Sus scrofa: one gene and its partner. The protein of the gene in region 2 interacts with the protein of the main gene of each other region in a pairwise test. Links are inferred from orthologs where the notes say so. Each region holds a gene or a part of one and is shown on either strand. Other genes may lie near its edges.

The links.
Region 1: the proteins of ZNF277 (region 2) and GNGT1 interact in a two-hybrid assay, tested with the Homo sapiens proteins (3 studies listed by BioGRID and IntAct). The two-hybrid records come from large-scale screens. The link is inferred for Sus scrofa from reciprocal best matches to the Homo sapiens genes ZNF277 and GNGT1.

What each region holds. Positions count from the first base shown.
Region 1 is NC_010451.4:73,402,187-73,406,559, reverse strand, and holds the start of GNGT1 (guanine nucleotide-binding protein G(T) subunit gamma-T1), read right to left. Parts: upstream 2,914-4,373; 5' UTR 1,788-2,913; intron 1-1,787. UniProt on the Homo sapiens protein: Guanine nucleotide-binding proteins (G proteins) are involved as a modulator or transducer in various transmembrane signaling systems.
Region 2 is NC_010460.4:33,420,165-33,424,535, forward strand, and holds the start of ZNF277 (zinc finger protein 277), read right to left. Parts: upstream 2,943-4,371; 5' UTR 2,891-2,942; coding exon 2,722-2,890; intron 1-2,721. Other genes in the region: DOCK4 (dedicator of cytokinesis protein 4), read left to right, coding at 3,403-3,439. UniProt on the Homo sapiens protein: Probable transcription factor. Involved in modulation of cellular senescence; represses transcription of the tumor suppressor gene INK4A/ARF, perhaps acting via the Polycomb group (PcG) complex PRC1.

The DNA of each region.
Region 1 (4,373 bases), on a different chromosome or scaffold from region 2:
AAGGGACAGAAGGAAAGGGCAAAATCTCCTAAAGACAGAGAATTTAAAAGTCATAAGTAATCAGAGAAAATTTCAAAAATGTATCTATCACATTTTAAGATGCTTATTTCCTGAATGCCCCTTTGATGTGAACTAATTTCATTTTCAGGCTTACTTGCAGATATAAGGTATTCTTATTCGAAGTGTGGCTTATTACAAACAAGTACCTTAAGAAACTTTTGTTTGTTGAGTCCCAGAAAGAAATATATTTTACTTTGTATCTCAGTACATACATAAGTATAAAGAAGAGACACAAGTTTCAGGAAACCATGCTCACCCTTGTCACAGGAGATGAACTCTATATTTTCTATCTGTTTCACCTTATTTTTTTAAATGTAGCTTGTGCCCTCTAAATTGGTTTCAGAACCCAGAAGTGGCCTCACGGCATTTCCAAAAACACTGTCAAGTCCTCTTAATAGATCATCCCCAGGTAATACCCACTCTCTAAGGATCTACAACACTGTATCTACGTGGAAAATATTTTGATAGTGTTAAGACAGCAGTAGAGTTAAATTTCTGTACATTCCAAGTGTTTCTAACAGGTGTAACCCCTTTTGGTGTTCAAAAAACATCCGTGGCTGACAGAGTCAATTTTATCCTCTTGAGAGACCCCAGAGCCTGATCTTTGATTCCACTTCTCCCATGTCGTCTTCCCTGAAATCTTCTGCCTGCAGGGAACCCTCCCCCCCCCGCTTTTTTTTTCTTTCTCCAATATTGTCTCTAACAGAAATAACACCTTAATTTGTCTGGATCTTTCTTTTACACTTATACAACACACAGTTTAAGGTTTATAATACCCCCATGCCATCTTTCTCACTAATGTTTAGACTTTTGCTTTGTCTAAGTTATGGTTAAGGGTTGTGGTCCCATACACCTTCAGTAGCTTCATGGACCCAAGCCCCATCCTCCTCTCAGAATGCCAGCTGTCAATAAGCGATGTAGGATGCCCTAGGATTAACCTTCAACAGAAAGATCTCCCTGTGCTTCCTCGATCAACAGAATGCAGAGAACAACAATACCCTCCACTCGGCAAAAGACCCTCCCTGATTCAATGTTATTGCCATGATTTGGCTACAACAGGGAAATTCTCAATGCTTGGCCCCCGGAAGTTGACCATAAGAGATATTCAAACAACTTTAATAATTCTCTGCTTGTTTACACCAAAAGAGGGTAATGAATGTTATGTAAGAGAGTTCTTATGGGAGGGCATGATCAGGTGTTGGCCGATCAGCAGCTGCTGGAAAGAAGGGAACTACTGAACCCAGGACAATGTCAAAGCACAGAGTGAATATTCATATTTATGTCTTGAACTCAGAAGAGTTCTTGTACAGGTTTTGTTTGCATTACTGTGTATGTGTGTTAATTTGCAAAATTCCTCTCCCAATTGCCCTGCTACCTTTCCTAGTCACATTTTTTTTTTTACAGCTAAATACATCATTCCTACTTAGATCCCCAGAATCAAGGGACTGTAGAATATTCTCTTGCAGTGGGGCGGTGCTGTAGGGTTTGAATGCATGGTGACTCACACACAGCCCTCTGGGTCACCAGACTGGAGGTGGCAGGGAAGGGGGGGGAGCGAGGAGGGGAGAAAGAGCCTGAAAAACAAAACCCCTAATAAGGTCTGGTTGGAGAACCAATCTGTCCCCGGACCCTGTCCCATGAAAGCCCCCAATCACATGATTTAGGTGTCCCTAAAGTCCCCTTAGGGTGAGAAATGGGAGTTCAAAATAGGACAGAAACACACGCACCTTTTGCCTAGTGCAATCTCTCCAGGGCAGGGATCACAGAACGGATGGGTGTAGGTTGCCGTCCCATTCACAGGGCACCTCTGTCGTCTGAGTGCTTAGGAGAAACTCGGACTGCCCCGGAAAGTGTTCTGTGTTGTTGTCTGGCTTTCTTCCCGTCCTATTTGGTTGCTGTTGCCTTTATTTCTTTTGCTGAGTAAACAGTGTTGGTAACCTGGACGGTCCACGACCACCTTGCAGTCTCAGTCTCGGGACACGGCGAGATGTTGCTCTCTTAGCCCAAAGTCCCTTGAACAGAGTTAGGAAAAAAAGTGTCCGCTGCTGCCTTGCTCTATCCAGCGGTGGGCTAAAGGATGTTGAGGGCTGTGCGTCCTTGGAACCAACTTGCCCGCCTTCCAGAGCGCTCCAGCCGGCAGGAGTAGCGCCCTGCCCGGAATCAGATTGTCCCGGGCTCCTCCTGGCATCAATGGCTTTAGTGGGGGAGAGGCACTCGAGACCCCCGTCTTCCTCACCTCCTCACTGTGCTCACTCCCCGTCGTAGGCTACTGTGCCCACCAGCAGCCCCTACATGAAGGGAGCTGTTCCCCTCAATCCAGTCTGCGCCTCCAGCCCCAGACAGCTGCCCAACTCTGAACGCTCTGGCAACACTTTGCGGACCCCCCAGCCCCTCTTCTTACCTCCTGCCTCCCAGCTCCTTCCCTTGCTTTCTCTCGGCACCCCAGTTCCTAGACAAACGTTTTCCCACCCATCTCCATCTCACTTTCACCACCTCGCCCACTGGAGACCCTCTCCACAGGCTCCCAGGTGGTGCTGTCCCCCAAGCAGCGGCTGAAGGAGCCGGGGTGGCACGGTCTCTAGGGGTGGGTTCTTTTGGAAACTCACCTCCCTCCGGAATTTGCGTCCTCTGGGGAGGGGGACAAGGCTCCTAGAAAGCTATCTCCCTGTACACTATGAATCCCCCAGCCCAGACTGTCACCCCCTCCCCAAGGTCTAACTCGGGTCCCTCTCCTGCTTCTCGTGTTTACGCCGCTTTTTACTCTTGGGGTCTCGTGGGGTGAGCCCCCGCGGGGACTCGAGCTAGGCAGCCGTGCGGGTGCAGCCCCACTCGCGGGCCAGGGCGAGAGGGGCTGGCGCGTAGGCGCTCAGAGCTCTCCTGCTCCCCCTCCCTCTCCAGGGACAGGAGCGGGCTGACGGGGGCGGGAGAGTTCGGGGGCGGGGGGGCTGGCGCTCATCAATTCCGCTGCCACCTCCTCTGCTGCCCGGGAGGAGGGAGAGCGGGCAGGGAGGGGCGGGGGAGCGGGCAGGAGAAGACTTAAGTCGGGAGAAGTTTGCGCAGAGCTCACAGCTGGGAAGGAAGGCGCCGGGAAGGTGAGCCTCTTGGACTTTGGGGAGGTGGGAATCAAGCATGGGGATGAAGCCCTTGCCTTTTAGCCTATATACTAGCTGGGGCTAGGTGTAAATGATCACTTAAGGCAGAATTAGAGTGTCAGGAAATCGGGAGAAGGGCAGGAGAGGGAGCGCTCCGGACTAATGTACTTTGCTCTTCACTAGGACGGCCAGCCCCCCAGACCCTGGGAGGGCTGCGCCGCGCCTTTCTCGGACCTTCCTGGGCTGGAGAGGTGCGCGCCGTCCGCACCTCGCCCAGGGGCTGGAATCTCCAATCCAGGAGATGCGCGCTGGAGCCTGAGTTCCTGAGTCTCTGGAGCCACCACCTGCGAATGACCTTCGCTTCCACTGAGCTGTGCCCGGCAGCCCAGTGAGACTGCTCCAGGTAAGGAGGGTCTTGGAATGAGCTGGGCTTTAAGATTTAGGATGTTCTCTAGGGGATGGTTAACAGTGGAGATGCGCCAGATACCTTGTTTTTTTGATGACAAAACTGCACTTTGATTGTGATGTTTCAGGTTCTGATTAGGGTCGACTTAGTCTCAGTCACCTCACCTTAACATTGATTAAAGAAAAGCTCGTTGTCTAGGAAGGTACTAAAACTTAGGGTTTCATATTGACAAATCCTAGGATTTTGTGTGAGTTTTACTTGCCGTTAATATAAATTTTCCTCCAAAAGTTTTATTCTCCTGCTTCCTGGGTATGAAAATTAGACACTGAAAATTGTGGATTTTTTCTAAAAGGTATTTATTAACTCATAAACAGATAATATCGGCATCTATGTGATGTGTCACAGTTGTTCTAGATATTGGAAATGAGTACAGTGGTGAATGGAGTTGCTTCTTAAGTCATGTTTTACAGAGAATTATTTTCCAACAATCATTTATGCATAGCAGCCATTCTTCACACCTATTAGGAAAAATATGTTGTGTGCGTAGTTTCCAAAAGGGTACTCTTTTTTCATGATGCTCTTCCCAAGCCTGGGTGAAAGACATCATGAAAAGCTCTCACAAATTAGTTCTCCTTCCCTAAACATTCATTTTCCTTGAGGTCCAAGGAAATCCAGTCAGAGTCAAAAATCAACAATCCAATTAGATTTTTAACCCATTATTTAGACTTTATTTTGCAGATCTACCTAAGAAAAGCTCTATCTAAAAGCTTTAAGCTGGTATTACATAGTACATTCAAGACTAGAAGGCAGTGTTC
Region 2 (4,371 bases):
TCAGGAAGTATGACACACAGACCTCAGGGAAGGTGCTGAACCTGCATGCATACTACCCAGTGACTCATTCTAGCAGAAATTTGTAGAATTGCAAGGATTCCTATAAAAAGACTCCCTAGTCCCTTCTGTTTCATAATATAAATACACAGATTGATATTTTAATTAGAGAGAAACCTGTTAAAAGAGGCATTTTTCAAGAAATCAGTGATTTTATAGGGGAAGACATTTTTGATAACTGAAGTAGTTGCTTTAACAGAAAAATATGAATCTACATTATTTCCACCAAAACCTGTATCACACTTTGCAGGCTTGTAAAAGAATGTTGGTAAAGTCACAGGATAATAAACAGGTTATTAAGAGATTTTTTTTTTTTTTTTTTTTTTTGCTTTTTAGGGCTGCACCCACAGCATATGGCATATGGAGGTTCCCAGGCTAGGCACTGAATCAGAGCCATGCTGCCGGCCTACACCAGAGCCACAGCAACGCAGGGTCCGAGCCACGTCTGCAACCTACACCACAGCTCATGGCAATGCCAGATCCCTAACCCACTGAGCAAGGCCAGGGATCGAACCCGCAACCTCATGGTTACTAGTCAGATTCGTTTCCGCTGCGCCACAACGGGAACTCTGAAGAGAATTTTTAATGACAACCTTAACACATATAAAAACAACATAAAAATCAACCATTAAACTTCCATTGACTGCTACAAATCAGTGAGACTACTAGGCAGTTCTGCTGCTCAATATCTTCGTTGTAAAATTGGAACCTAAAATTACGCTTCCTATCAGTTACTCAATTCAATCTAATAGTTATCTAAAAATTCATCCTGAATTAATGCTGGTCATCACAGTTTGGTAAGTATATGGAGAAAAGAATATTCATATGACTACTGGTAGGAATGTTTATATACACTCTTTAAGAGGAAAATCTGATATCTACCACAATTTTAAATGTGTGTCATCTTTGACCCAATTCCTCAAGAAATACACACCTGGTGAACAAGCATGTATGTGAAGTTGTTCGCTACATTACTGAAAAACTAAAGCTACAGTATACGTTCATTAACAGAGGAAAAGCTGAAGTAGGGTATGTCCATACTATGGAATACTACGGGCATAGTCCTTGAAAAGAATGAATCAATAAATGTACTGATGTAGAAGAATGTCTCTAACAGATCATTGTGAGAAAGAAGGTGACAGATCTTTATGCTTACACGGAATGAGCCCTTTTTATTTAAAAAAAACCCCCAAAACTATACAGATGTGTGTCACACAGCCATATATTAGAACACACACCAAACCTGTAAAAGTTGTTACTTTGGGAATGGGACTGTGTGTGATGGGGAAACTTTGAAATGTTGCAGTTTTTTACCATACACATTTCTGAACAGTTTGAACAGTTTATAATGAAAAGTTTTATAATTTAAAAACAAGTAATGATATTTAAAAGTTTTACAATGTTTTTGAAAGGCACACCATTTTCTTCTTTATGAGTTAATCTATGAGATCAATTTACAAAGGATTCCACCTTCAAATGTTCAAACACGTAACCCTCTGGAATTTTGAGAAGCTGGAAAACCTTAAGAGTATGTTACTGTTAGATAAGATCTGACTATATGGCCAACCCTGGAATGAATTGTTTAGGATGTGGATATAACTCAATATTTAAGTACGGAGCTTACCAAAGATTTCTTTGGCAGAAGTGCTGAAATAATTTCAGAGGTAGGAGGTTCCACTAGGATGGGAAGTGGGAAGACATAGCACAGTCTGTGTGCTAAGACAAAAATGTCAATTTAACCACGAATGCAAAAGCAAAGAAAGAAATTTTACAAAACCGCAATAAGGATGGAGAACTAAAATGAAGCTCCAAACCATGTCCATTAGAAAAAGACAACTAGCTGTGTTAAGTTACATATCAAATCAAAAAAGAAGGGAGTCAGGTGGGGGATAAATATATAGATTAAAGGTAAAAGAATTGGGCTAGGAATTCTAAAGATAATCCCCCAGCAGCTTTCAAAGTTTGATTTTTTTGCCCTCTGCACCGGATAAAAGGACAACTTGAAAGTTAGGTAAAGCCAAAGAAGCTGTGAAGATTTTCTCTCAAGCCACGAGAGCCAATTGCCGCTTCTTTCCTCTTGCTCCAAGGACCCAGCTCCACCAATCCCGGAGAATGCCAAGGGCAGTCAATGAGCAACGGGAGAAGCTCTGAGAGCCACACACTCTCCCTTCAGAGGCTGCACGAGCCAGCCACTGAGAAAATCTGGGGCGTGCAAGGCAGCGACCAGTCTGCAACTGGAAATCCGCCCGAACCCAAATAAAACTTATCTTCAGAGGCCAAAGCAAGCAAATCGAAGCGGGGGTAGGGTACTGGCGAAGAAAACGCTGCTAATCCCAGAGTTAACAGCACACAGGCCGGAACCTGACCTGACCCACGCCCACTCACTCGGCAGAGAGCGCAAAGGTGCGAGCTCCAAAGGCAGGATAAACGCTCAGAGAACTTCCTTGGCTTCGGAAAAGCCATTCCATCCCATTTTCTCTTCCTTCTCAGAAAGACCCCTTCAAGTTGCCGCCGCCCACCCCACCATGTCCCTCGGGGCCCCTCATGTGGCCCCTTCGCGCCCCCAGGTGGCCTTAGAGCTGGGGTCCGCCCCGCAGTCAGCTGCACTCTAGGTGGGAGAAAAAGGAAAATAAACCACTTGCACCTCAGAGGTACTGTACTCACCCTCATAAGTGAAAACTCCGGCTCCGCCGCTGCTGCCATCACCGTCTTCCTCCTTTTGGGGAGCAGCCCCCTGGGTCTTGGGAGCAGCCATTACGCGGCTGAAGAAAAAAGGGAGGGTCACGGGCAGGAGCGCAACCAATGGAAACGCGCCTAGAAACGAAGTCCCCATCGACGCGGCGTTTCCTCCACTCCCACGCCGTGCCGTCACGTTCTGGGCCAATAGGACGTGACGATCAGAACATAACCCCGCCCTACATGCTAGTGCCACGCCCCCTTCCGGGATGGAGAGACCCAGAACTACAATTCCCAGTGTGCTGCGCAGGCTCTGGGCAGGGAGGGCTGGAAGAGGCGCTGGCGGGCGGGGGTGCGCCCGAGAGTGCCCCGGCGTGTTCGCTTAGTTCAGTGAATCAGAACAATGACTGCGCCGCTGGGTTCCCGGGAGCGCGTCGGAGGACTGTGAGCAGCCGCCGCCTGGAGAGCGGCGGGCGGCGCAGCCTCGGCCGCGCGGTGTCAACCTCGGACTCGCGAGCTTCCAGTGCAGACCCTGCCCAGCGCCCGCAGCCCGCGCGGAGCCGCCGGGCTCCAGCGCTGCAGACGCTACTCCGGAGCTGTGCATTGTTGTGAGCTGGAGAAGGGGTGAGGGGATTACAAAGCCCGAAGACCCCGAACCCCTCTTTAGCCATGTGGATACCTACAGAGCACGAGAAATACGGCGTGGGTGAGTCTCCGCGGGGCGAACTTTTTATTCCGCTCTGGCCGGAGCGGGTGCGTATTTCGCGTCCTTGCCCTGGCGACTCTCTCTTCTCCCGGCTGGAAATGCCTCATCCTGGCATCGCGCTGCGGGTTCGGGGCTTTACCCAGCCAGCTCCGGGCAGAGGGGTGCGCTCTGGGGTCTCGCCGCTCAGCGTCTGATGGGCGCTCCGGGCAGCGGCTGGGGGGAGCGCGCGACCAGCCCGCCCGCTGCAGGCTCTGCCTGCGGAGTTTGTAGTGGCGACGGGGCGTGTGTGTGTCAAGTTGCAAGAGGAGAGCGAACCGCGTTCCTCTCCAGCTGCTACCTTTCCCCAAGGCGGCAAGGGCTGTAACGATTTCCCGGGTGGAGAGGGAGACAACAACAATCGCGCTAAGTGAACAGCCCCAAAACAGAAGGGAGGCGCAGAACCTTCCCTCTGCCTCCCTTCAGCATTCCCAGAGTGCGGAATGTGGCACCGTCCTCAAAAGAGACGGTCAGACAGAGTCCGGCCGGGGACTCTCATCCCGGGTTACCCTGTGTGTGTGTTGACGGGCGGGGGGGATTGGTAAATTTCAACATCTGCGTCGCTCTGCTCTTTGGTCTTTGGAGGGGAACCGGTATTTCAGCAATGTTTTTACTTCTGATCACCCTCTCTGCCCGGGGTGAGCCGGTGGGGGTGGTGATGGAGGACAGCTGTGGAGCGATAATGGGGAGAGGGAATCGGAAAGCTTGGGTCTTAGAGGCACGGAGACGGCTTTTGGGGAAGGACTACCCTGACACTGGTGTTTGGAGGAGAAGGAACAGGGTAACGCTCGCCGTTCTGTGCAAAGGTGAACAACAAAGGACATTAATGTTGACGGATGAATACAGGAGTCTCCCTTCCTTTCCCTCCTCCCATTTCAGGCCGATTACAGTTCCCG